3 linked regions of the Arabidopsis thaliana genome follow. The protein of the gene in region 1 purifies or fractionates together with the protein of each later gene. This does not show direct contact. Each region holds a gene or a part of one and is shown in the gene's direction. Other genes may lie near its edges.

Evidence for each region. Proteins that work in one complex are often made in the same cells at the same time.
Region 2: the proteins of AIM1 (region 1) and AT1G33590 fractionate together in Arabidopsis thaliana (co-fractionation; one large-scale study listed by BioGRID). This does not show direct contact.
Region 3: the proteins of AIM1 (region 1) and AT1G33600 fractionate together in Arabidopsis thaliana (co-fractionation; one large-scale study listed by BioGRID). This does not show direct contact.

What each region holds. Positions count from the first base shown.
Region 1 is NC_003075.7:14,296,405-14,304,190, reverse strand, and holds AIM1 (Enoyl-CoA hydratase/isomerase family), read left to right. Parts: upstream 1-1,903; 5' UTR 1,904-2,174; coding exon 2,175-2,271; intron 2,272-2,386; coding exon 2,387-2,458; intron 2,459-2,605; coding exon 2,606-2,668; intron 2,669-2,752; coding exon 2,753-2,809; intron 2,810-2,959; coding exon 2,960-3,027; intron 3,028-3,126; coding exon 3,127-3,208; intron 3,209-3,322; coding exon 3,323-3,378; intron 3,379-3,486; coding exon 3,487-3,789; intron 3,790-3,986; coding exon 3,987-4,073; intron 4,074-4,165; coding exon 4,166-4,340; intron 4,341-4,670; coding exon 4,671-4,792; intron 4,793-4,948; coding exon 4,949-5,112; intron 5,113-5,197; coding exon 5,198-5,452; intron 5,453-5,585; coding exon 5,586-5,707; intron 5,708-5,771; coding exon 5,772-5,893; intron 5,894-5,984; coding exon 5,985-6,133; intron 6,134-6,370; coding exon 6,371-6,509; intron 6,510-6,846; coding exon 6,847-6,879; 3' UTR 6,880-7,147; downstream 7,148-7,786. Other genes in the region: AT4G29000 (Tesmin/TSO1-like CXC domain-containing protein), read right to left, coding at 7,589-7,786. UniProt on the Arabidopsis thaliana protein: Involved in peroxisomal fatty acid beta-oxidation. Required for wound-induced jasmonate biosynthesis.
Region 2 is NC_003070.9:12,176,010-12,180,128, forward strand, and holds AT1G33590 (Leucine-rich repeat (LRR) family protein), read left to right. Parts: upstream 1-1,663; 5' UTR 1,664-1,667; coding exon 1,668-3,212; 3' UTR 3,213-3,619; downstream 3,620-4,119.
Region 3 is NC_003070.9:12,178,980-12,185,028, forward strand, and holds AT1G33600 (Leucine-rich repeat (LRR) family protein), read left to right. Parts: upstream 1-1,796; coding exon 1,797-3,233; 3' UTR 3,234-3,243; exon of another isoform or gene 3,244-3,621; intron 3,622-5,220; exon of another isoform or gene 5,221-5,228; 3' UTR 5,229-5,549; downstream 5,550-6,049. Other genes in the region: AT1G33590 (Leucine-rich repeat (LRR) family protein), read left to right, coding at 1-242.

The sequences.
Region 1 (7,786 bases):
ATGAGAGCATGCAGAGCATGTGGCTGCGCCCAAAGGCCAAAGTTAGTAGAACATGTAAATGCATTAAATTGACAGGTTGGGAGACAAAAAGATTAATATGGAAGATTAAAAAAATCTTTCAAATCCATAAAGTAAACAGTATTTCTCGAGAAATGATGATGTAATAAGTAATATTAATACAAAACTCGAAGCTCGTAAGTTAATTGGTGATTAGTTGCGTTTCTTAAGGAAATTGTTTACTCAGGAAGAAGGTGAGGATGACAAATCAGATGTGTTTTGGGTAGGAGGCAAGAGTAATGATATTTTTATTTGAGTTATACAATAGTCGAGTAGATGTATTAAGTAAAAATTGATCTATGTCAAATTTGTTCTTTGATACATAAGAGATCAAACAATTACAATCTTGTTTAGAGTTTATATATAGTGTCGGTTTTGAAATACACAGTTTTAACTTCTAAGCAAAATAAGAAACAACTAAGACCCATATAATTTTTACAAATCGCGAATTCATATTAAACATTGCAACTTTAAATGGTACTAGCTAGTTCAAAGATTAGAGTTTTTAGTCATTTATTGACGATACTGAACTATAAACACCCTAAAACCTGGAAAATAAATTGTCACTGAAAATTAAATGATCACGAGATTTCGAACAGAAGCAATATTATTCTATCCAAGGCATTATGTATCTCTCTGAGATATTAAGAATGACAGCTGAAGCCAGTGAAAATAAGTTGTTCGTTGGGCCTTTCTTGTAGTTCAGTTATTTCACCTCTTCAATGCTGTTTTGTCTTCATATCAAAACATATTAATATACTATAGACTGTGTAAAAAAAAAAATCATATACTATAGACTATATAGTCTCTCTCTCTTCTCTTGTGATTAATACTCGTAAGTTATAAGTATGAAGCTTCAATTTAAAATGACTTTACATTTCTACTGTGGTACAGCTAAGAGAATAGCATACTTAATGGTTGATCATTTGATCTTGATAGTTTAGTCTTTGATGTGTTGGCAGCAAATGGTATCGGACTAAAACCGAATTTAATCTACAATAATTTGCTATCGATTCAAATTATTTGAAACTATTTTAGTCATTTGTCAAATCATTAGGCTGAAATCGTTTAACAGAAAACAAAAGATTGTGGATCTTATATATACTAAGTACTGAATATACAAAACTATAAATTTTCAAACCAACAAATGTTAGTGGACATTTTCATATAATTATATTTGTCATGGTACATTATATAGCATTATTCGGAGAAAACCACAAACGCTTATAGATATATTTGTTCACATCCTTGGTTTTGTTCGGGCTTAGATTTGCTGAAAGTAAGGGTACATTAACTATTGTATACGATCTTAATCGTCTGAATAAAAATTACTCCATTAACTATAATGTTAGGTTTGGTTCTTATTGGCTGCGAATATTTTATTTTAATTACTTGTCAATATAATGTTTTTTTTTTCTTAACACTTACTTGTCAATATAATGTTTAATTATTATTTTATAGCACAAACTTATTTTTTTAAAGAAAAATTATAAATCATTATAATATTTTGTGATTTTTTTTTTATTTTTTTTGTCGTATTTTGTGATTTATCTTTTACTTTAATAAAGTGAGTTTTTTTATTTATTTTTTGTTGTTGTTGTAATAATTGAATTAAGAAGATGGGCCCGTACATGGCTCAATATACTTGTCGTTGTAGTCCACTATTGGCCTGCAAATCACAAAAATGTATTAAGAAGCCCAATATTTGTGGGTTCGAAGTTTAAACTGAACCGGTATAAGTTGAGAGTTAACGATTTTGAATTTGGTAACTACTAAACCAATATCTAAAAAGGAACTCTCAACTTGTGATGTTATCTTCTAAATTATTTTGTTACCGCTCTATGTTTATCAATCGGGATTCATATAGTTGAATATTAACTAGCTGGACAGGCCCCAAACAAATATGAATGCGGCCTTGTTGACCAGAAGATTTGGTTGCTTATGACGAAAATGACGAAACAACAAGTTAGGAAAGAAATATCGATCACGTTACAAATGTAAACTCCTGATTTATCAAAGGCCCCATTTTTATCACAAAACCAGATCTTTATCCAATTTTGTCACTCACCGAATAATAAAGCTTTCATTTTTCAATCTCATCAGAGAGAAATTAAGCTATGGCGAAGAAGATTGGAGTAACGATGGAAGTTGGGAACGATGGTGTTGCTGTCATCACCATTTCTAACCCTCCTGTTAACTCTTTAGCCAGTCCAAGTATTAAAAAAGCTTAAATGTTTCTCTGTGATTGATTAGATCATGCACGATTTTTTTATCTGGAATTGGTTTGGTTTAAGCTGATTTGATCTTGTTTGGTTGTGTGAATTCTCAGTTATTTCTGGGTTGAAGGAGAAGTTTCGTGACGCCAATCAAAGGAATGATGTTAAGGCCATCGTGTTGATCGGTAAACTTTTGTTTTGAAGGATTGTATTCGATCTTGTAGCTAGCGATTGTGAAATTGTAAATTAATGTATTGAAGGGGTTTGAAAGTTTAATCCTTTTTCTTATCGTTGTTGTTGCTTAAGGAGCTTGAATTTGTTTATCACTTCAGGGAACAATGGAAGATTTTCGGGTGGTTTTGATATCAATGTCTTTCAGCAAGTTCATAAGACTGGTAAAGTTTCTTCTGTTGTTAGTACTTATTTATATAGTGAATCAAATTGGTGTTATGGGTTTTGAGACTCTTGTTTCTTGGCAGGGGATTTATCGCTTATGCCTGAAGTATCTGTTGAGCTTGTGTGTAACCTGATGGAAGGTATTTAGCTTCTTTTTAGTTTCAGATTTTTTGTTCTTTCAGGGTTGATGTATTTCTCAATAAGTTGGACTGCAACTATCACATGTAAGTTGCACTGCAACTATCAAATGATGTGATGCTGATGTTGGTGTTGTTATTCGGTTATCACAGACTCCAGGAAGCCGGTTGTTGCTGCAGTTGAAGGATTAGCTCTTGGTGGTGGTTTGGAACTTGCAATGGTGGGAGTTTTGAGTTTCTTTCCCTTTTGTGCGTTTTAAAGTGTGTTTTGATATTCTTAACTTTTTGTGTTGATTTTTCTGTAACTCGAAATTCTTTAGGCGTGTCATGCCAGAGTTGCTGCTCCGAAAGCTCAATTAGGCTTACCAGAACTGACTCTTGGAGTGATTCCTGGTTTTGGAGGTATGGGTTTGTTTTTTCAGCTACGTCTTCTTTTAAATGAAGGCGATACTTTTTTTGGCTAGGTTTTCTTTATTAATAGATATGTATATAATTGAGCTAATTGTGTCTATGAAGGAACCCAACGTCTTCCAAGGTTAGTAGGCCTTGCAAAAGCAACGGATATGATACTGGTAAGGATGACATTTTCTGCAGTTACCAACAGTTTTATTACCAAGTTTGCGTCAATATGATTTGCTTCGCTGAAAATTGTATTAAACTATATGCTGGTATTTCGGTAGCTTTCTAAGTCAATATCCTCAGAAGAGGGGCACAAACTGGGTCTCATTGATGCCTTGGTGCCACCTGGAGATGTGTTGAGCACATCCAGAAAGTGGGCTCTAGACATTGCAGAGGGACGTAAACCCTTTCTGCAGTCACTGCACAGAACCGACAAAATTGGTTCTTTATCTGAAGCTCGTGCTATATTGAAGAATTCAAGACAGCTAGCCAAGAAGATTGCCCCAAATATGCCTCAGCACCATGCTTGCATTGAGGTGATTGAAGAAGGAATCATCCATGGAGGATACAGTGGGGTTCTCAAGGTATCTTTAGGATTTCGACGTTTACCGTATTTCTTCAATAGCTTTGACATAGATCATTTACTGCTCGTTGGTGCTCATTCGACTTTTTAAATTAGGGAATCATGAGTGCTTCATTTCACAAAATCTGTCCATTCCTTGCATTGATTACTTGCGGTAATTGTCTAGTTGGCTATGTACCTAAACTCTTTGATTCGCAGGAAGCAGAAGTTTTCAAGCAACTAGTACTGTCAGACACTGCAAAGGGTCTTGTTCATGTTTTCTTTGCACAACGTGCAACATCAAAAGTGAGATTGGCATATGTTGTGTTTGTTTCTTCTAGCACTTCTAGTTTTCACTTTCAGTGTTCATCCTGAGCATCTCTTAAAACACTTTTCAGGTGCCTAATGTAACTGACGTTGGATTGAAACCAAGGCCGATAAAAAAAGTTGCAGTTATTGGTGGCGGTCTGATGGGTTCAGGCATCGCTACGGCTCTACTTCTAAGCAATATAAGAGTTGTGCTCAAAGAAATAAACTCAGAATTCCTTATGAAGGGAATAAAATCAGTTGAAGGTTATTATCTTATCCATAACATATCCAGTTGCTATTTTATAGAAGTATCTATCTTGGTCAAATACCAAAAATTTGAACTGTTATCTACGTTGTCAGCCCAAAATCGTTCTTCATAAAAATTGGTTGCATAATAAAAAGGTTCTCTTAGATGAAGTGTTATATAGTAGTTTGCAGCCCTAAGAAATTAGAAAAGTGTACAAACACTTCAGTGAGTTGTTTGAAGCCAAACGAAGTATCCATTGAATATGATGGAATAATAAAATATATGATTATTACTATTCCTGTTACAGTGAGTAGATGCAATAAAGTTCGTTTTTTTTCTTGTGACAGCAAATATGAAAAGCTTGGTATCTAGGGGGAAACTGACACAAGATAAAGCAGGAAAGGCCCTCTCTTTGTTCAAGGGAGTACTTGATTACACAGAATTCAATGATGTGGACATGGTCATAGAGGTCTGCCTTCAATTTTAGTTATCTACTTTGGTGTTATATGTCGTTCTTTTTTGTTTCAACTTTCAAGTATATACAAATCTAGATAATTCGAAGAGAGGGACAACTCGTATTTATGTCTTCTTACTGTAAGGCCTTGCTCCTGGTATCATTTTGCAGGCAGTGATTGAAAACATTCAATTGAAACAAAACATATTCAAAGAAATCGAAAAGGTTTGTTCACCCCACTGCATTTTGGCGAGTAATACATCTACTATCGACCTCGATGTAATTGGTGAAAAGACTAACTCAAAAGATCGCATTGTTGGCGCACATTTCTTCAGGTCATTCTGCGTTTCCAATGCCTCAAAATTTTTATGCTTTTTTCGTATTTTTAGTGTAATATACAAATGGTTTGTCTTTTTATAGTCCGGCCCATCTGATGCCCCTTCTCGAGATTGTTCGTTCAAAGAATACTTCTGCTCAGGTGATTCTGGATCTCATGGCGGTTGGAAAGGCCATAAAGAAAGTTCCCGTGGTGGTTGGAAACTGCATAGGCTTTGCAGTGAATAGGACATTCTTTCCTTATTCACAAGCTGCACATATGTTGGCCAATCTAGGTGTTGACTTGTTCAGAATTGACAGCGTTATTACCTCTTTCGGCTTGCCATTGGGCCCTTTCCAGTAAGTCTCTCCCTCTATATTTTGTTACCTACAGTGTATGTGTGTCCGTATGTGTATGTGTTACTCTCAGTGTTGCTCTATGGCTATCTCAGCAACTGAAGAATTTTTTTTTTTTCGATGACTCACTTCTCAGGCTTGGTGATTTGGCTGGACACGGGATTGGATTAGCAGTTGGGCCGATATATGCCAAGGTCTATGGTGACCGCATGTTCAGATCTCCAATGACAGAGCTTCTTCTTAAGAGCGGGCGAAATGGTATGTCATTGCTCTTACCTTTTGAAATTCCTAATGTGTCCACTTTTAACATTTCTGGCTTCAGGAAAAATCAACGGAAGAGGATACTATATATACGAAAAGGGAAGCAAACCAAAACCTGATCCATCAGTGCTTTCAATTGTTGAGAAATCAAGGAAACTGACCAATATCATGCCTGGTGGGAAGGTAAAAAAAGAGGAGGTCTTATGAAATATATCAGTACTACTATTGGTATTTAAAAAAATGAAATGCACTATTGTCTGTTCTTCTTTTGCAGCCTATATCAGTAACTGATAAAGAAATTGTAGAGATGATCTTATTCCCTGTTGTCAACGAGGCATGCCGCGTCCTAGATGAAGGAGTTGTGATCCGAGCCTCAGACTTGGACATTGCGTCTGTCCTTGGAATGAGTTTTCCTTCTTACCGGTGAGGATTCTAAGTCATAATCCCCATAAAGCAAAAGGGAGCATTTTGTGAAATTCTGGAAATGCATTACCTCTGCTCAAATCTTATGCATATGATTTTTTCACATCTTTGAGTTTCTTCTGGTCATTTACAAACGTTCACAATATCCTCAAAACTTTTTCCTTTCTTTTGTTAGTCACTAAGATTTTTGGTGTATGATCATTTCTTATGTTAAGCAATTTTTTTTACCTGTTGCAGGGGAGGAATTGTTTTCTGGGCAGACACTGTTGGACCAAAGTACATATATGAGAGGCTCAAGAAATTGTCGGAGACTTATGGCAGCTTTTTCAAACCATCGAGGTATCTGGAGGAAAGAGCAATGAATGGAATGCTTTTGGTAAAGTTTCTCAACTTTCTTTTACATTTTATGATGTGGCAAGAAAACACAGTACCAACCAAGTTCTCTTATTAACAAATCGATAAACGATATGAGAATAGAATTTAGGTTGATTCATCTGCTGCAAGGGACCTGCTAACATTAGATTTTGGGTTCAAGTATGGCATGAACTATGTAGAATTGTTTTGTAGTTTGGCTAGTAAAAATGAAGTTTTGAGTAAACAATTTATGATAATAACTAGATCTCTATGATGGAAATGTTTCCAAGCGTATGAATGCAGTACTAGTCAGTGTATAGTCGATTTATTCATGATGAAAATTCTGGTTTTGGCTGCAGAGTGAATCGAAATCGTCGAGGTCCAAATTGTGAAGCGTTTAATTAAGTATATGCAGAAGGAGAGGCTGAAGGTGTTAGTCACTAAATGAAAATAAATCAGTCTCTCTTGTTGTTTCAAAGTTCAAAGTTAAAATGCTATTAAGGTGTGGTTGTTGTTAACACTCTTAAAATAAACAATTTTCTGCTCTTAATAAATGTTTGTAGTGACGTCAGTTTCATAAAGTTATGATTTGTTCTAGCCAGAGAGAAAAATATGAAGAAATTTACATCTTTTTTTTTATAATCAAATTAAGGATTTATTATATATTACTTTCAAATCCTACAGAAGCTGATTGAGAAACATCTCAGATCATAATCCGACACAGTAAACAAGGGTGTTCCACAGCTAAACCATCAACATAAAAAGTGATACTGAACACAAAAAAAAAACTAACAAAAAATTCGTGTAGTAAAGAAACAAAGCTCACCAAAATCTACACCAGCCACAAGGGGCTTTAAAGAGGAGACTTTATAAGAAAAGAAAGAGAAAAGTGAGAAGAAAGCTTAACGACACAATAAAAGCTTGTGTCTATTACTCTCTCTAATCACCTGCCAATGCGTTGAAGCCGCAACAACCGCCACTGAGAAAGAAAAATTACGGTGGGATTACCTGATAATATAGGGCGGTGGTGAGGCAGATTTCAGCGTGCTCTCTCTGGTAAGTTATTTTCTGTCCTAAGTAGAGTATAATAATCTATCTGATTCAGGGGTCTTTCTTCTCTGATAAAGCTGGAGGTTTTTGAAGATGTTGAGTGTTTGTTGCTGTTGCTGGTGCTGCTGATGTTGTGTTCATCAGCTGCATAGGCTGCGGTTTGTTGAGTGTAGGTTGACAATTGGTTCGCGAAGCTCCATTCACAATTGGTACTTGCTGTTGAATCCCATTCTCGGTTTTTACAGTCGC
Region 2 (4,119 bases), on another chromosome or scaffold:
CATACCCAACTCTTATCCATTTTTGAAACACCAACAAGCTCCAACCCCATATATATGATAATATTTATATATATATATATATATATATATATATATATATATTAGTTAACAGAGATACAAGAACAAAGACACAAAGAGAAATTTCAAAAACAAAAATTCAATACTATCAAAGCTATATTGAATACAAGAACCACATAAACTCAAAGCTACACGTATACTAAGAACCACAGAAATTAACTCAATTCGATACAAGTGAATCACATAAATAGTCAAGTTCCATTGGATACAAGTGAAAAGTCACAGAAATAGTCAACTTCTAATCGATACAAGTCAATAGTCACTGAAAATAGTCAAGTTCTAATCAATACAAGTGAATACAAGCTATCAAAGCTATTTGAAACTCAATTCGATACAAATGAATGCTCACTATCAAAGCTATATGAAACTCAATTCGACACATGAGAATAGTCAAGTTCAAAGCTATATGAAACTCAAAATCGATCTAAGAACCACAGAAATCGATCTAAATAACATACTTGTCAAAGAGAAGCCACTGAAATCTTTGAGAAACGCGGATAGCGAAAGCCCCAAATCGAAACCCCTAAATCTGAGAAACCTGAAAATCAAACCCTAAATGTGATTAAAACCCCAAATCGAAACTCAAACCAGACAATTTCACAATGCAAACCCTAAATCGATTACAAAAGAAACATAACCTTCTCGATTTAGAACCAGATCTGTGACTGAGAAGCTGAAGAGTACCAAAAGAGATTGAGGCGTTGAGCAAGAACACGAACAGAGACGGGAGAGAGACAGACAGCTGAAGAACACGAACACAAACAGAGAGAATTGAAAAAGAGAATTGAAAGAGATGAAGAACAGTGAGATGAAAAACAGTGAGAACACGAACAATGTTTTTTGGCCTTAGAAAAAAATTTCGGGGTTAAAAGTCACCAAATATTTTATTCTCCAACGAGCAAAAAAATTTCATTCCGCGCTACTATATTAGGTAGCGGTTTTTGTAAATTAGTGCTATCGAATAATAACCCCTAATCTAAAAATATTGACCCGAGTCATTTTATTTCCCGGGGTAAGATAGTATAACGTTTTGAAAACCAAACGTTATAACGTTTTAGCTGGTTAGTAAATTATAGCAGAACACGATTAACTGCTACAATATAATATTATAAATGCTCAATATTCTTCTAGTAATTTTAATATTAATAAGGAGGTCTTGTATAAACTGATTGTTTCCTGGAAGTGTTATTGCATCGCCAAAAACAGTTGGCGGAAGTCCAGCCCAGTCATGTATTGGAACATCAATTACTCTGTTCTTGCTGTTAGAATCGTTTGGCTCTTGAGTCTATGACAGTTTCTTTTGTCGGAAATGTTGTGAAAAATAAAAATACTATGACTTACTGGAGTTTCAAAATATAACCAAAAAAAACGAAAATATATTATAAGAAGTCTGAAAAAAGTAGAATTTTGTTTTTAGCAAAACATTAAGACGTGTTAATTGTCAAGAGAAGACCTATGCATATATAATAGTCAAGAAAAGACAAACTATAATAAAAATCTAATGAAACTGTCTTTTTCAAGTGTGTCGGGGAAAAATGATAAATTCGACCACGATTACGGATACCACTAATAATTATGGTCACATGCAGATGCAAATGGATTGGTCAAAAACGTCAACTTTGACTTCGCAGCTCTCAAGTAATCTTTTCCCCACTACTAATAGCTCTCTTCTCTCAATCAACACAACACAATTCACCACCATGAACTCTTCCTTTACTCTCTTCATCTTTACCTTCGTCATCTTCCTCCAATGTCTAAATCCCACCGGAGCTGCCACGTGTCATCCTGATGATGAAGCGGGTCTTCTAGCTTTCAAAGCGGGTATAACCCGAGATCCTTCGGGTATTCTCAGTTCTTGGAAGAAAGGTACCGCTTGTTGTTCTTGGAACGGTGTCACTTGTCTCACCACTGACCGTGTCTCTGCACTCTCTGTCGCTGGACAAGCCGATGTTGCTGGAAGCTTCCTCTCCGGCACTCTCTCGCCGTCGTTGGCTAAACTCAAGCACCTTGATGGGATTTACTTCACCGATCTCAAGAACATCACTGGTTCTTTTCCTCAATTCCTTTTCCAATTACCAAATCTTAAGTACGTATACATTGAGAATAACCGTCTCTCTGGTACTCTTCCGGCTAACATCGGTGCGCTAAGCCAGCTTGAAGCGTTCAGCCTCGAGGGAAACCGGTTCACCGGTCCGATCCCGAGCTCGATATCTAATTTGACTCTGTTAACTCAACTCAAACTCGGCAATAATCTCCTAACCGGAACTATACCGTTAGGGGTCGCTAATCTCAAGCTCATGTCGTATCTCAACCTTGGAGGTAACCGTCTCACTGGAACCATTCCAGATATTTTCAAATCCATGCCAGAGCTCCGATCTTTAACTCTCTCCCGCAACGGATTCTCCGGGAATCTTCCTCCGTCCATTGCATCACTCGCACCGATTCTTAGGTTCCTCGAGTTAGGCCATAACAAACTCTCCGGGACGATTCCAAACTTTTTATCAAACTTCAAGGCGCTCGACACATTGGATCTCTCCAAGAATCGGTTCTCGGGTGTCATACCGAAGAGTTTCGCCAATCTGACCAAGATATTCAATCTTGATCTCTCCCATAATCTTCTAACCGATCCATTCCCTGTCTTGAACGTTAAAGGCATTGAATCTTTGGATCTTTCTTACAACCAGTTTCACTTGAATACGATCCCGAAATGGGTGACTTCGTCGCCGATCATCTTCTCGTTGAAGCTAGCAAAATGCGGGATCAAGATGAGCTTAGACGATTGGAAGCCAGCGCAAACATTCTACTATGATTTCATCGATCTGTCGGAAAACGAGATCACAGGGAGTCCAGCAAGGTTCTTGAACCAAACAGAGTATCTAGTGGAGTTCAAGGCAGCGGGTAACAAACTACGATTCGATATGGGGAAGCTAACGTTTGCAAAGACGCTGACAACTTTAGATATATCAAGGAACTTGGTATTTGGGAAGGTGCCGGCAATGGTGGCTGGACTAAAGACATTGAACGTGAGTCACAACCATCTTTGTGGAAAGCTTCCAGTAACAAAGTTCCCGGCCAGTGCGTTTGTGGGTAATGACTGTCTTTGCGGCTCTCCTCTTTCTCCTTGTAAAGCTTAAGCGGCAAGAAAGCTACAACTGGTAGTTGGATATTTACCGTGACCAATAAAGTTTAGCTCCAAATAAAATTTGTATTAAAAAGATTACAACAAATAAAGTAGTTTTATGTTATGAAGAAGCTTCATTCTAACAATATGTATTAGTGAAAGTACTCAAAGTAGTATTTAAGTTCTCAACTATTATGCATTTTTTATATAGCAGCTAAAATATTACTTTAACATGATAGAAAAATGATTTTAAAAAATAGAAGGAAAAACAGAGTAGTATTCTGATACAACATGCTCCAATTTATGTAACTTTTGCTTATATATTAAACTGATTATGTAGTATGCAACTCTTGGCTAATCTGTTCTCAATTCAGAATAGTCGCAACAAATGATGCAGTAAATAATCTATGTTTACTGGAATTTAACTCGCTCTATACAAAAAAAGAAAGAAAGTTATAGTGATATCTTATTTAGAACTATGCGTAATTTATTATTCTTCAGTGTTCTATAATTGGTTAACAAAAACCTAGTGATGAAAACAAGAGGAGTCCTTACTAGATAGATGCATATAACTTCATCACTACAAAATTTATTTGATCACAAATAACACATACCAAACAACAAACCAAGTAATCGATATATACTAGTATCAAACCTCTTTTTTCTCTTTACATACACATAACACAAGGTCATCCACAGGACATATAGCGTCTGCATTGAGGAATTAGACCATCTCTGAAGTAGGTTTCAACTTAGTATTGTTTTTTTTTTTGTCTAAAACACTAAAGTTCGATTAGACTAATGCATCCATATTCAATGAGACAAAGACATAGTAAACCAACCTAGAAAAATTATTCAAAAACTATACAAAAAAAGATAGTTTGAGTAATTGGTTCTTCCAAAACAAGACTAATGCATGC
Region 3 (6,049 bases), on another chromosome or scaffold:
CAGCGGGTAACAAACTACGATTCGATATGGGGAAGCTAACGTTTGCAAAGACGCTGACAACTTTAGATATATCAAGGAACTTGGTATTTGGGAAGGTGCCGGCAATGGTGGCTGGACTAAAGACATTGAACGTGAGTCACAACCATCTTTGTGGAAAGCTTCCAGTAACAAAGTTCCCGGCCAGTGCGTTTGTGGGTAATGACTGTCTTTGCGGCTCTCCTCTTTCTCCTTGTAAAGCTTAAGCGGCAAGAAAGCTACAACTGGTAGTTGGATATTTACCGTGACCAATAAAGTTTAGCTCCAAATAAAATTTGTATTAAAAAGATTACAACAAATAAAGTAGTTTTATGTTATGAAGAAGCTTCATTCTAACAATATGTATTAGTGAAAGTACTCAAAGTAGTATTTAAGTTCTCAACTATTATGCATTTTTTATATAGCAGCTAAAATATTACTTTAACATGATAGAAAAATGATTTTAAAAAATAGAAGGAAAAACAGAGTAGTATTCTGATACAACATGCTCCAATTTATGTAACTTTTGCTTATATATTAAACTGATTATGTAGTATGCAACTCTTGGCTAATCTGTTCTCAATTCAGAATAGTCGCAACAAATGATGCAGTAAATAATCTATGTTTACTGGAATTTAACTCGCTCTATACAAAAAAAGAAAGAAAGTTATAGTGATATCTTATTTAGAACTATGCGTAATTTATTATTCTTCAGTGTTCTATAATTGGTTAACAAAAACCTAGTGATGAAAACAAGAGGAGTCCTTACTAGATAGATGCATATAACTTCATCACTACAAAATTTATTTGATCACAAATAACACATACCAAACAACAAACCAAGTAATCGATATATACTAGTATCAAACCTCTTTTTTCTCTTTACATACACATAACACAAGGTCATCCACAGGACATATAGCGTCTGCATTGAGGAATTAGACCATCTCTGAAGTAGGTTTCAACTTAGTATTGTTTTTTTTTTTGTCTAAAACACTAAAGTTCGATTAGACTAATGCATCCATATTCAATGAGACAAAGACATAGTAAACCAACCTAGAAAAATTATTCAAAAACTATACAAAAAAAGATAGTTTGAGTAATTGGTTCTTCCAAAACAAGACTAATGCATGCAGCATCTTAAAACTTCACCACCATAAACGAAAATTGAGTAATTGGTTCTTCCAAAACAAGCTAAGATTCCACTATAATTTCTTACGATAAACAAATAGATAAAGCTACTTATGTTAATGTTGGATTACGCTAAGAAAATTAAGGCATGAATCTATCGGCCCATCTCGAGGCCAACTTAGTCCACAATCTGGATCATTGTACTTAGATATATTTGACTTTTATTTTGTGGTCAATAATGTACATATTGTTAGACAAAAATAACATGTTAATAAATATTTTTTTTTTTTCAAAAATAACGTACATTTTGAGAAAACATAAATGAAATTTCTTTCCAAACTAAGTTTCATAATAGCCCAAAATATTATTTAAACATGATAGAAAACAATTGTAATTTGACAACAAAGTTCTAGAAAAATAAGATACATAAATCCTTTATCTATAATCATCAAAATATTATAAAAATCTGATGAAAGAAACTGTCTCTTTCGAGGGGTTGAGAGATAATAAATTCGACAACGATTACGGATATTACCACAACTTATTGCCACCACATGAACATGAATTGGTCAAAATCGGCAGCTCTTGATTCAACGTTTTCCTTCTATTAATAGCGACCAATTGTGTCTTTCAATCAACACAACTCAACCATGAACTCTTGTTGCTTCCCTCTCTTCATCTTTGCATTCGTTATCTTTCTCCGGTGTTTAAGTCCCATTGAAGCTGCCACGTGTCATCCTGATGACGAGGCGGGTCTTTTAGCTTTTAAATCGGGTATAACTCAAGATCCTACGGGTATTCTCAGCTCTTGGAAGAAAGGTACTGACTGCTGTTCATGGAAGGGTGTCGGTTGTCTCACCAACCGCGTCACCGGACTCACTATCAACGGACAATCTGATGTTACTGGAAGCTTTCTTTCTGGCACTATCTCGCCGTCATTGGCCAAACTCCAACACCTTGTTGGTATTTACTTCACCAATCTTCGAAACATCACTGGTTCTTTTCCTCAATTCCTTTTCCAATTACCAAATGTAAAACAAGTCTACTTCACGAATAGCCGTCTCTCCGGTCCTCTTCCAGCTAACATTGGTGCGCTAAGCGAGTTAGGAGAACTAAGTCTCGACGGAAACCTGTTTACTGGTCCGATCCCGAGTTCCATTTCCAATTTAACCCGGTTATATCTGCTCAATCTTGGAGATAATCTCTTAACCGGAACTATACCTTTAGGTCTTGCTAATCTCAAGATCTTGTTGTCACTCAACTTTGGCAACAATCGTCTCTCTGAAACCATACCGGATATTTTCAAATCCATGCAGAAGCTCCAATCTCTAACCCTCTCCCGCAACAAATTCTCTGGAAATCTTCCTCCGTCCATTGCATCACTCAAACCAATTCTCAATTACCTCGATCTAAGCCAGAATAATCTCTCTGGGACAATCCCGACCTTTTTATCAAACTTCAAGGTACTAGACTCATTGGATCTTTCTAGAAATAGGTTCTCTGGGGTTGTTCCGAAGAGTTTAGCCAATATGCCTAAACTTTTCCATCTCAATCTCTCCCACAATTTTCTAACTGGTCCACTCCCTGCCATGAAGAACGTTGATGGCCTTGCCACTCTAGATCTTTCATACAACCAATTTCACCTCAAAACGATACCGAAATGGGTGACCTCGTCGCCGTCCATGTACTCGTTGAAGCTGGTAAAATGCGGGATCAATATGAGCTTAGACAATTGGAAGCCAGTGAGACCCAATATTTACTTTTACATCGATCTGTCAGAAAACGAGATCTCAGGGAGTCTAACATGGTTCTTCAACCTAGCGCATAACCTATATGAGTTTCAAGCGTCAGGGAACAAACTTCGATTCGACATGGGGAAGCTGAATTTAAGTGAGAGACTAGAAAGCCTCGATCTATCAAGGAATTTGATATTTGGGAAGGTACCAATGACCGTGGCTAAACTGCAAAAATTGAACTTGAGTCATAACCATCTTTGTGGAAAGCTTCCAGTGACTAAATTCCCGGCCAGCGCGTTTGTCGGTAATGACTGTCTCTGCGGCTCTCCGCTTTCTCCTTGTAAAATTTAGCGGCAAAAAGGTACAATTTTGTAGTTGAGTACTGTAACACATAGCTCTGAATAAGATTTGTAATAACAAAATTAGCCTACTCGGCTACGCCATACATGGACATGATTTTTATTTTTTTTACTGGAATAGAAAATAACAAAATATTTAAGGGGAAAATCACATTTTAAACCTAACACTGAGCAGCACTTTAAACCTCAAGATATTTTCACTAGCATTATAAACCTCCAAATTAATTAAACTAACACTCTAGATCTCCAAATTAACATTTTTTGTTTGTACAGCCCTAAAAGATAACAGAACAGAACACTAACTAACAGAACATTAACAGAAGTTACAGAATAATGAACTTTTGTCAGTTAAAAGAAAAAGTAAAACATGTTTAGAAAAAATAATATTATGACCACTTACCATAATTTGTGATTTTTTTGTTTAAAAAAAACCTTATAATATTTAAGAAATTTGATAATACAGTACATAGCCATGTAAATATAAATCATGTTGATGTTTTAACAAATTATTGATCGGTTATTCTCAATTTCCAACATTAATTTGATTACTTTGTGGGCAGTCTAATCATTGGTGAGCTAAATATCTAAAATCTAGACAGACAAAATAATATCACATATAAACCAATAGTTTGATACATTCACTCTCGGTACCTACCCTACATCCAAGAAGTAATGAAGATCTTGGGAATAAATGTTCCATTAGAATCATGAAACTGGTGACTTTGTAGACAAGAAAACTAGAGTTATTTGTGTAATAATATGAAATATTAAAACTGTAGACACACTGAGATTTGCCTTATTATTCAAAGCTATAAAAACAAATGGATCTCGATGAACGCTACGGCATTCATAAGAGAGGTAGCATGCATCTTAAATGTCACTACCATAAACTGAAAACTGAACAAATCGATTTTCGAGAACAATCTAAATTTTCACTTTCTTAGTTCTTACAATAGGCAAATAGATAAAGCTACTAATGTTAGATTATGCTAAGAAAATAAAGCATAATGTTTACCTGACCATCTTGAGGCCAACTTATTTTCACTGTCTAGATCATTGCACTTAGATCGTTCTAAATCTAAACAGTCAAATCTTTCACTTCTAATTTAAGGTCAATAACGAACATTTTGTTGGACAGATTAAAATAACGTGTTGAAAAAAGTAAGACGAAAATAACGTACATAACTAGATTATAACCCGCGGTACACCGCGGAGACAATTTGTTTTTAAAATTAGTATATATAAGAGTCTGCAAATTATATTTATCTATAAAATATTTACATTTTATAGTTTACAATTGTTATTAAGTAATATCCTTCCAAACTCGTTCCACCAAACCCGTCCCGTTAAAAAAATCTGCGATACACCGCTAATTTAAATAAATATTTTACGGGATTGCAATTATATTTTAGTTTGTCAAACAAATTTTTTTTTTAAATGGTTGTCGAAATCTAGTTCAAATATTGGAGAAATAAGATTTAGTGAACTGATAGGAAATGTATTTAGGTGCGTTTTGCTCATTTTAAGGGATTGCAATTGTATTTTGGTTTGTCAAATATTTTTTGTTTTAAATAGTTTCCGAAATCTAGTTTAAATTTTGGAGAAATTTGCGTGATATATGGGATTATAATATATTTGGAATATTTTTTGTTTGTTAATCAATTTATTGCCAAAAGAAAACCAATAATTAAAAGGCAATGGCAGGTATTGTAAATAAGTTCGAACTCCAGGATTTATTTCACAAAATGGCTGCAAAAATGTATATATAGATGTTAGAGAAAAATCAAAATGGTTATTTTTCCTAACTAAATTCCATAATAAAAATAAAATTTTATTTAAATTTGATAGAAAGAAATACTAATAAGACAGTGGAAAAAAACTATATGACTTATGAGTTTTAATACAATGTAACAACAAAATTCTAGAAAAAGAAGATATGTTAAACCATTTATATAATAATCTGATGAAAGACACTGTCTCTTTCAAGGGATCCAGAGATGCTAAACTCAACAACGATCACGGATTATACCACCACGTAATGCCACCACATGCATATGACTTGGTCAAAATCGTCAGCGCTAGAGTCGATGACTTTCCTTCTATTAATAGCTACCACGAATGCTTCTCTCAATCAACAAAAACACACCATTAACTTAAGACATCAAGAAGCTCCACTACATGTAACAACGATAATCAATACGTATTATTGTATTAGTGAAAGTAGTATTTCAACCCTCCGACATTGTTTTCCATATACGCGAAATGTTACTACTAAAGTGAACGGCGAGGACTTCGGAAAAGATACTCGTATTTCCGTTTATGTATTTAACTTTTACAAAATTAACAGAAATTATCCAAATTTTCTACTTTTTTTTAAATACCCAAACTTTACAAAATACACATAACAGTTAGTCAAATTAATGAGTATAAGAATTAAATTTACTTACCTGGATTTTCTGATCCCGCGTGACCAGAATTTCTTGAACCGGTCCCTCGATCCAAAAATCCCGTCTGATTTTATCGGATATAATTAGTCAAGTCAGTCCATCGTCTGGATTAAGTCTGGACATAATAAGTGAACCGAAAGAATTGAACTGGAACCGAAGAAAAAAGAACCAAACTGAACTCAGACCAATTGTAAAATATTCAAATAGGTCCAAAATTCTAGAACCGAAAAAGATTATAATCAAACCCGAACCAAACCAAAATATTTTGGATACTCAAAAATATCCAATTATATATCCAAAATATTAGTTATTTTTAGATCGAATAACCAAACATATACAAAATACCAAAATATACTTGGAA